Linked DNA regions of Arabidopsis thaliana. The protein of the gene in region 1 purifies or fractionates together with the protein of each later gene. This does not show direct contact. Each region holds a gene or a part of one and is shown in the gene's direction. Other genes may lie near its edges.

Region 1 (3,784 bases):
AAAGCTCGTTTGTACTGATGGAAAGGACGGTGTTCTCATAAGCACCAAGTTTTTAAACAACGTGGTGGGAACCAATCCCGAAGCCAAGACTTTGACAGTTGAGAGCGGTGTGACGTTAAGGCAGCTTATCGGAGAAGCGGCTGAATTGGAGCTGGCTTTGCCACACGCACCATATTGGTGGGGACTCACGGTTGGAGGATTGATGGGGACAGGTGCTCATGGAAGTTCGTTGTGGGGTAAAGGAAGTGCGGTTCATGATTATGTGAGTGAGATAAGAATGGTGAGTCCCGGTTTGGCTTCTGATGGGTATGTTAAGGTTCGGGTTCTTAGCGAGACAATAGATCCTGATGAATTTCGTGCAGCCAAAGTTTCTCTAGGCGTTCTAGGTGTTATCTCTCAAGTAACTTTCCAGTTGCAACCAATGTTCAAGAGATCGTTAACCTTTGTTATGCAAAACGATTCGGATTTCGGAGATCAAGCCGTGACTTTCGGGGAAAAACATGAGTTTGCAGATTTCTTATGGTTACCAAGCCAAGGCAAAGTGGTGTATCGAATGGACGACCGAGTTCCGGTCAACACTTCAGGCAATGGCTTGTTCGACTTTTTCCCATTCCGTCCACAACTCTCTGTAGCGTTAGCCATCATTAGATCCTTAGGTAAATTTATTCTTTGTTTCTCAAGATAACTAATACAAAATATATTTGATCATTTGCATAGTTTTTTTGGTAAAAAATATTTGATTTGCATAGTTATAATGTTTCTTATAAACAACTGCTTCATGATATGAAGAGGAGAGTGAAGAGTCATCCGGAGATGCAAACGACAAGTGTGCGAGAGCAGAGCAAATAACGTCGTTTTTGTTTTCCATCTCCTACGGTGTGACTAACAATGGTAAAAATATTCGTTCACTTACTTATGCATCTTTCTATTGTTTCCATATGTATGAGACTTTACAACTTTCTATCACATATTCATTTGTAATTTCCACGGGCAGGTATGGAATTCACAGGCTATCCGGTGATCGGAAAGCAAAACCATATGATGTCGTCGGGTACATGTCTAGACAGCCATCAGGACGGACTGATCACGTCTTGTCCTTGGGATCCACGGATAAAAGGCCAATTCTTTCACCAAACAGCATTCAGTATCCCTCTCACACGTGTCAAAGGTTTCATCAACGACATCAAAGCACTCGTAAAGATTGAACCGAAATCTCTCTGCGCCCTTGAACGCAGCAATGGTATCCTCATCCGTTATGTGACATCCTCTCCTGCTTTTCTTGGGAAAGAAGAAAAAGCTTTAGATTTTGACCTAACTTACTACCGAAGCAAAGATGATCCCTTAGCACCACGTCTCTACGAGGATTTCATCGAAGAGATCGAACAAATGGCGATATTTAAATACAATGCATTGCCACATTGGGGGAAGAATAGGAACCTAGCGTTTGATGGCGTGATTAGAAAGTACAAGAACGCAAACACGTTTTTGAAAGTAAAAGAGAGATTTGATCCTTTAGGGTTGTTTTCGACGGAATGGACCAACCAAATTCTAGGTTTAAAAGGAAACGTGACGATTGTGAAAGAAGGATGTGCCTTGGAAGGACTTTGTGTTTGTTCGGATGATGCTCATTGTGCTCCCAAGAAAGGTTATTTGTGTCGACCAGGTAAAGTTTATACAAAGGCTAGAGTTTGTACTCATGTAAAATCAGTAAATGGCTATGACGATCATACCAAATTTAATTTGATGTTTAATCGTATATGAGAAAAGTGAAAACAGAACATTTTACAGAACAACGTCTTTTGTTCATTATGACAAGCTTAACAAGTTTTATGGTCGGTCACACGGGCCTTTGTTGTTGGGCTTTAGCCGGTTTATTTGGTTCAATTCGGTTTACATGGTTAGTCCTCGAATAAAATAATTTCGGTTTAAGATTTGTTACGGCTCCTCCGTCAATGTATCGTCGTTGATCCCAAATTTCTTCTGAACAATTTCGATTTTGAATTCGCGCTGAGTGATGAACGGCGCTTCTCCGGCTCATTCATTGGTTTCGACGACCGCCGTAGCTGGTGGAGGTGGAAGCAGTGGCGCCGCCGCTGGTCTAGACGATTTCCATTTTCCACCGGATATTCCCTCAATGCAAGAGCGAAAAGACGAAGCTATGCGTGGTCAGTTCTTACTCTTTTCCCTTTTCGTTTCATGATTTCGAATCTTAGGGTTTCAAATTAGAGGTTTTCTATAAGATTCGGTAATCAAATTTCTCAGTGATCAGAGATTTGAGTATCACATCTCCAAATTTAGGGTTTTTGATACTATCTGAAAATCCCAATTTTGTTTCCCTGAGTTTTTTTTATTTGGTTGATTGATTTGTTGATTTAACAGTAACTTCTTTAGATAATTAGTATTGCTAATTAATTACTAATAAATGATTAAGGACATGAGTAGATTAAGAAAAAGCTTGCTTCAGTTTCAAGTGTTTGTTTGAGATATGTTATGTAATAGGTTTGGTTTTTGTTTTGATGGTGTAGTTTTGAAAGCTGATTTGATGACTGAACTTGACAAAGAGGTTAAGTCTTTGGAAGAAGATAGTTGGATGTTCGAAGGTCCTCGTTCTCGAATCCATCTTATATCCAGAAGAGGTTAGTTTTCTTCTTCTTCAATCCTATTTTTCTGTATGTCACAAAGCTGTTTTCATGTGTACGTTTATATCAATCTTGAATAAGTTTTAACAGCAGTAATGATCCCAATGGTTCAAAATTTCATGTATTTGCCATTCTCTAGATTAGGCAAGTCGGTATGGTGAGAACATTTGATCGAATCTGCGGGTTTGTGTGTGTGTTTTCGGTGTTTCGTCATCACTAAGACACTCTACTGAAGTATATTTGTTTCTGATTAGGTAATTTTCTAAAGAAAGGAGGTGAAGTGAAGCTATGGTGAAATTAAGCTTTGTTCAGCTTCCTAGATGATCGGATTCATTCAAGTAAGAAATATCAGAAATGGTCGTATACGCTTTGTTTCGTGTTCTTCACAAATGTCACTAAAACGTTAACTTTATATTTTCCCATTGTAAGGGACAAAATAGTATTTCTATGGTGTTAATATACAAGTGAGGAAATCATTATTCGGCTAATGAGTCTATTACTCGAAAATGAAATTTCAATATTCTCAAGAATATAGATAATCAACTTTCATCAAAGACAATTTTTAAGTTTGAATAATTAATTTAAAATCCAGATATTTTTCTTGATTTTTTGTCTAACTTGGTACTTTTTATTAGTTCCTTTAAAAAAATTAGGTTATTATCATCTTCCCAAAACAAAGATTCTACTATATGTACGGAAAAAGAAGTACCAAAAGGTCATTATTAAATCCCAAAACTTGTTTACCTATTTTTATCAGGAATCAATTGATCACCACTACCTAAAAACCACAAATTGCTTAAGTTTGTTAACACTGATTGACAAGTGTCATACAAGTAATCCCATTTGCCACGTGTCATGTCCTTTTTATGTAACCTAGGACTTGAAAACCACAAGTGCAAGCAAATAACCTAGATGACACTTGTTAGAGAACGACGTCACCAAGAACCTCTCACACTCTCTATTCCACCACTTATTTACCACGGCACCGCCTTCTCCGTGGCATCTTCTTCATCGTCAAGCCCTGAAACATCGCCGATTCAAACCTTAAACGATCTCGAGAAACTCTCCGTTTTAGGACAAGGAAGCGGTGGGACAGTCTACAAAACCCGTCACCGGAGAACCAAAACGCTTTACGCCTTAAAAGT
Region 2 (4,621 bases), 4.9 Mb from region 1:
AATCTTACCTCTTACAATTCTTACATATTTTTGGATTACACCAACAAAATAAGATATTTTGAGCTGAGTGCCTGTTTTTCTTGGCTTTTACTCTTTTTTTTTTTTTTTAAACATTCTAGGTTAGCTTAACAAAAACAACAAGCAAACAAAACCTTAGGATGGGAGTTAAGTCATTACAAACTTAGCAGCAACCTATACTCTCAATACTCACTACAAATAAGCCCCATGATTCTCCATCTTCCTCAAACCATTTCCACCTCAAGAAATAAATCATCAGAGCCTCACACATCAAACACAAGTAATGGCCTCCACGGATTCAGTTTACCGTCCCACACCAACTCCAGACCATGACACTACTGTTGTAGTAGTTGTGTTTGTTTCTTTGGGTTGTGTCATGTTCTTGGCGTTTCTAGCGTTTGTTATCTGGTTCTTGATCAAGAAGAGATCCAGGAAGCACCGTGAGAGATCTGAAGCGGTTCGCGTGGATGAACACTTTAAGATGAAGGAAGCTATAGTCGAAGGACCTAATGGACAAAAGTCTGTGGTGTTATCAGTTGAGGATGATGTTAAGATCGAAGACGCGATCAAGAGAGAAGAGAAAGATCTGAAGAAAGATGGTGGAGTTGGATCATCAGTCGTTTCCCGTTCGTGAATGAGCTTTCTTCATTCATAATGTTACCTATCTATTTATTTATATTAAAATTGTGGTTGTGTGTGAATCATTTGTTTGGTGAAATAAAAAAAAAGCATCTGAAATATTTATTTAAATTCTTTGGACAAAGATGGTTCTTCAAACTTGGGTTGGTGAATGGTGATGGTTTTTATGTTCTAGGAGCGAACTTTTATCTCTATCTCTCTAAGAAAAGTAATCTTTCAAAAAAAACTGTAGAGAAATAAAATAGATAGTTGTTTTTGGTTAAAACAGATAATTTGTAACTGTAACTCGATAAGAATATTAATTAAAAAAAACATACAATGTCAAATGAAATCATACTTAAAATTGGACATTTTTCTATTTGAAAACTTGGTATTGGTATACTAACACATATACCATGTTAATCTTCTCATTATAGTTCTACTTAATATTTACCAAAACAAAACAAAAAAAACAATTATACGTATTTAATTAACAAAACAAATACATTAATTCTGAAGATGGAGAAAAAAATTGTGTCTTGATAATGCTAACTTACCAAGTCTCCATACATGATAAGAAAATTACACACACATATATATATATATATATAAATATGTCATATATAAGTTTATTTTTGAGCTAAATCTTCAAAAAGTTTCTATTGTAATTTCTAAGCTTAAACAAAAATTGATACATTCATTGTCTAATACTGTTCTGGTTGAATTCAATTTTATATTCAATTAAAATTAATATTTTCTTACCAAACATCACATTCATACATAAAATAAACATTGGAATTATCATTCTGAAACTAATACAACATTTAAATATTAGAAATCCTATAAAATAAAAATTCGTCCTTTCTTTTCTTTGTCAACCATAAGATCCAATGGCTCGTTGAATACGTAGTTACGTACAACTGGCATTCTCGTGTACAAAGTCACTAAAACAAAAACAAAATCCATTATAGATATTAAAACGACTAAATTTAATTATAGCAATAACAATTGAACAGCAAGATCACAAATTTAGAATTCAAGAGCTTAAAAAATTCATTAAAAGTAGAAAAATACAAAAATAATACATTAAAATTCAAAGTTCATATAATTGGAAGTAAAAAGAAATTTTTTTATCACTCTCAAGTTTTGTCTTAAATGGGACAAATTTAACTTTTTAAACAAAACCCACAGAATCTCAAACCAGTTAGCACCCCTTGTTTCACCCCACGGTTTGTTTAACGAACAACAGCCAACCACCAAATTACTATTATACCCTCATCACCATTTGACTATTTATTAGTCCACACTCTATAGTAGTTGTTACATTCAAAGAACTCCAAAGTAAATTAAAGTCTTCTCTACTTCACCATAAAAAATGCTTGCGCACAAGTCTCTTCTCTCCTTTACCACCCAATGGGCTACACTAATGCCATCTCCGTCTACTTTTCTCGCCTCTCGCCCCCGTGGACCGGCCAAGATCTCGGCCGTGGCAGCACCAGTGAGGCCGGCTCTAAAACACCAAAACAAAATCCACACCATGCCACCGGAGAAAATGGAGATATTCAAATCTTTAGATGGATGGGCCAAGGATCAAATCTTGCCTCTTCTCAAACCCGTTGACCAATGTTGGCAACCCGCTTCTTTCTTACCCGACCCGGCCTTACCCTTCTCCGAGTTTACCGACCAGGTACGTTATATACATCATGAATCTTGTTATTCTCTTATTTATGAAGAAGTAGAAGTTATTACAAAGTTTATAACTTTGTCATGAAATGTATAAACCAGAATACCTATACTATATAATATGCACATTAAACCAAGACTAACCAATAAATGAAAAGATGTTAAAATGTGTATTTATAATGATAGGTTCGTGAGCTGAGGGAAAGAACGGCCTCGCTGCCAGACGAATACTTCGTGGTGTTGGTTGGAGATATGATAACGGAGGACGCGTTGCCTACTTACCAGACGATGATCAACACCCTTGATGGCGTAAGGGACGAGACTGGTGCGAGTGAGAGCGCGTGGGCAAGTTGGACACGAGCGTGGACGGCTGAGGAGAACCGTCATGGTGATTTGTTGCGGACTTACTTGTACTTATCCGGTCGTGTTGATATGCTTATGGTTGAACGCACCGTTCAGCATCTCATCGGCTCGGGCATGGTCAGTTCTCTTTCTATACCTTTATGTCATGATGTAAAAATGCTTATACTAGTTTCATTAGTTTAGTAGTTTTCTGATTTATTTATTTGTTTGTGTCATTTTAATTTTTTTTTATTTGGTTTGGTTAAGTTATTTTTTTTGTTATGCATGTGTGGAAACGTAAACATAACCAAAACTATTTGCCATTTTGTTTGTTTTGATCTGGTATGATAAAATTTTAATTTGGTTTTTGGTTTGAATACATTTTGGACGATTTAAAAAGAAAAAAAAATCCACCTTTTAATAATAATAAAAATTAATAATATATTATGTAAGATATATAGAAAATAAATTCTGATTTTTTTGTTTGTTTAGTTCGCTTACAATAACATAAGCTTTGGGTTTAAATGTTTTTAAATAATAGAACGAATTGATCACAAACAATTTCAATCTAAGTATTTTAGTAGTTTACGTTTGGTTGGTCCGGATTAGGTTTGGTTGGTTCGGGTTAGGTTTATACCATTCATAACTTTTCATATTGGCAACTTCAGGATCCAGGAACTGAGAACAATCCATACTTAGGTTTCGTGTACACGTCATTCCAAGAGCGAGCCACATTTGTGTCTCACGGCAACACGGCAAGGCTAGCCAAGTCCGCAGGAGATCCTGTCCTCGCTCGCATCTGCGGAACCATTGCAGCTGACGAGAAGCGCCATGAAAACGCTTACGTACGCATCGTTGAGAAGCTCCTCGAGATCGACCCTAACGGTGCAGTCTCAGCCGTGGCCGACATGATGCGGAAGAAGATCACAATGCCGGCTCATCTAATGACAGACGGTCGAGACCCGATGCTATTCGAACATTTCTCCGCCGTGGCTCAGCGGCTAGAGGTTTACACGGCGGATGATTACGCTGACATCTTGGAGTTTTTGGTTGGACGGTGGAGATTGGAGAAGCTAGAAGGATTGACGGGTGAGGGCCAACGTGCACAGGAGTTTGTGTGTGGGTTAGCTCAGAGGATTAGACGCCTTCAAGAGCGTGCAGACGAGAGAGCTAAGAAGCTTAAGAAGACCCATGAGGTTTGCTTTAGTTGGATCTTCGATAAGCAGATTAGTGTGTAAACTCTTGAAAATATCAAACTTTTCCTTTCTCCGTTTCTTGTTTTTTTTTTTCTTTTTTGTAATGCAAATCTTTGTTCTTAGGAAAATTTAATGTTAAGTTTCTATCTATGTAACGTGTTTTTAACTTAAAATTTGTATAATTTAAACATGGCTCAAACGGATAATTTTTTTTTTTGTTAACTTAGAGTAAATCCTTGAACCTATGGACTAATTCCAGAGGAGAGGGTATCCTATGGGTAAGGTCTCCCCATGTTTTCAAATAGGCCTTAAGCAATAGGTCCATTCCCATGTGCCAAAGGGACATGGCTAAGCAATTGTGCATCTGAGGAGAATTGATACCTAGCCTAGACCAAACAAGACAACTCTTCCACCAGACTAGAACCACTAGCCCACCACCTCTGGTTAAACTGATAAATTAACTAAGTTTTTGTTGACCAATCCGGACAATCCGATTTGACCCGATCCAAACCAAAACGAAAATAATTGATTTAGAAAACTCGATCGAAAACCTATTTTTATAACAAGTCAATAATATGTTTGATTAAAATCGGAAACCCGAACCGAAACCATAACCAAAACCAAACTGAAATCTAGATGAACATCTAATATTTTGGATTTTATTGTTAATTTAGATTTGGGAATTGTTCTCTCTTATCGTTTAGATGGTAATTATGTTTACGCCATTAGCTGAGGAGATTAGTACAAGAATATATGACGATCAT

The links. The genes of interacting proteins can lie anywhere in the genome.
Region 2: the proteins of SAMBA (region 1) and FTM1 purify together in Arabidopsis thaliana (affinity purification with mass spectrometry, with the first as the bait; one large-scale study listed by BioGRID). This does not show direct contact.

Annotation. Positions count from the first base shown.
Region 1 is NC_003070.9:11,651,605-11,655,388, forward strand, and holds SAMBA (valine-tRNA ligase), read left to right. Parts: upstream 1-1,895; 5' UTR 1,896-2,014; coding exon 2,015-2,165; intron 2,166-2,525; coding exon 2,526-2,636; intron 2,637-2,893; coding exon 2,894-2,934; 3' UTR 2,935-3,229; downstream 3,230-3,784. Other genes in the region: GulLO1 (D-arabinono-1,4-lactone oxidase family protein), read left to right, coding at 1-656, 790-891, 995-1,761; MKK10 (MAP kinase kinase 10), read left to right, coding at 3,552-3,784. UniProt on the Arabidopsis thaliana protein: Plays an important role in organ size control. Acts as negative regulator of the anaphase-promoting complex/cyclosome (APC/C). Regulates cell proliferation during early development by targeting CYCA2-3 for APC/C-mediated degradation.
Region 2 is NC_003070.9:16,575,651-16,580,271, forward strand, and holds FTM1 (Plant stearoyl-acyl-carrier-protein desaturase family protein), read left to right. Parts: upstream 1-1,870; 5' UTR 1,871-2,011; coding exon 2,012-2,323; intron 2,324-2,505; coding exon 2,506-2,799; intron 2,800-3,329; coding exon 3,330-3,899; 3' UTR 3,900-4,072; downstream 4,073-4,621. Other genes in the region: TED6 (tracheary element differentiation-related 6), read left to right, coding at 302-652. UniProt on the Arabidopsis thaliana protein: Converts stearoyl-ACP to oleoyl-ACP by introduction of a cis double bond between carbons 9 and 10 of the acyl chain.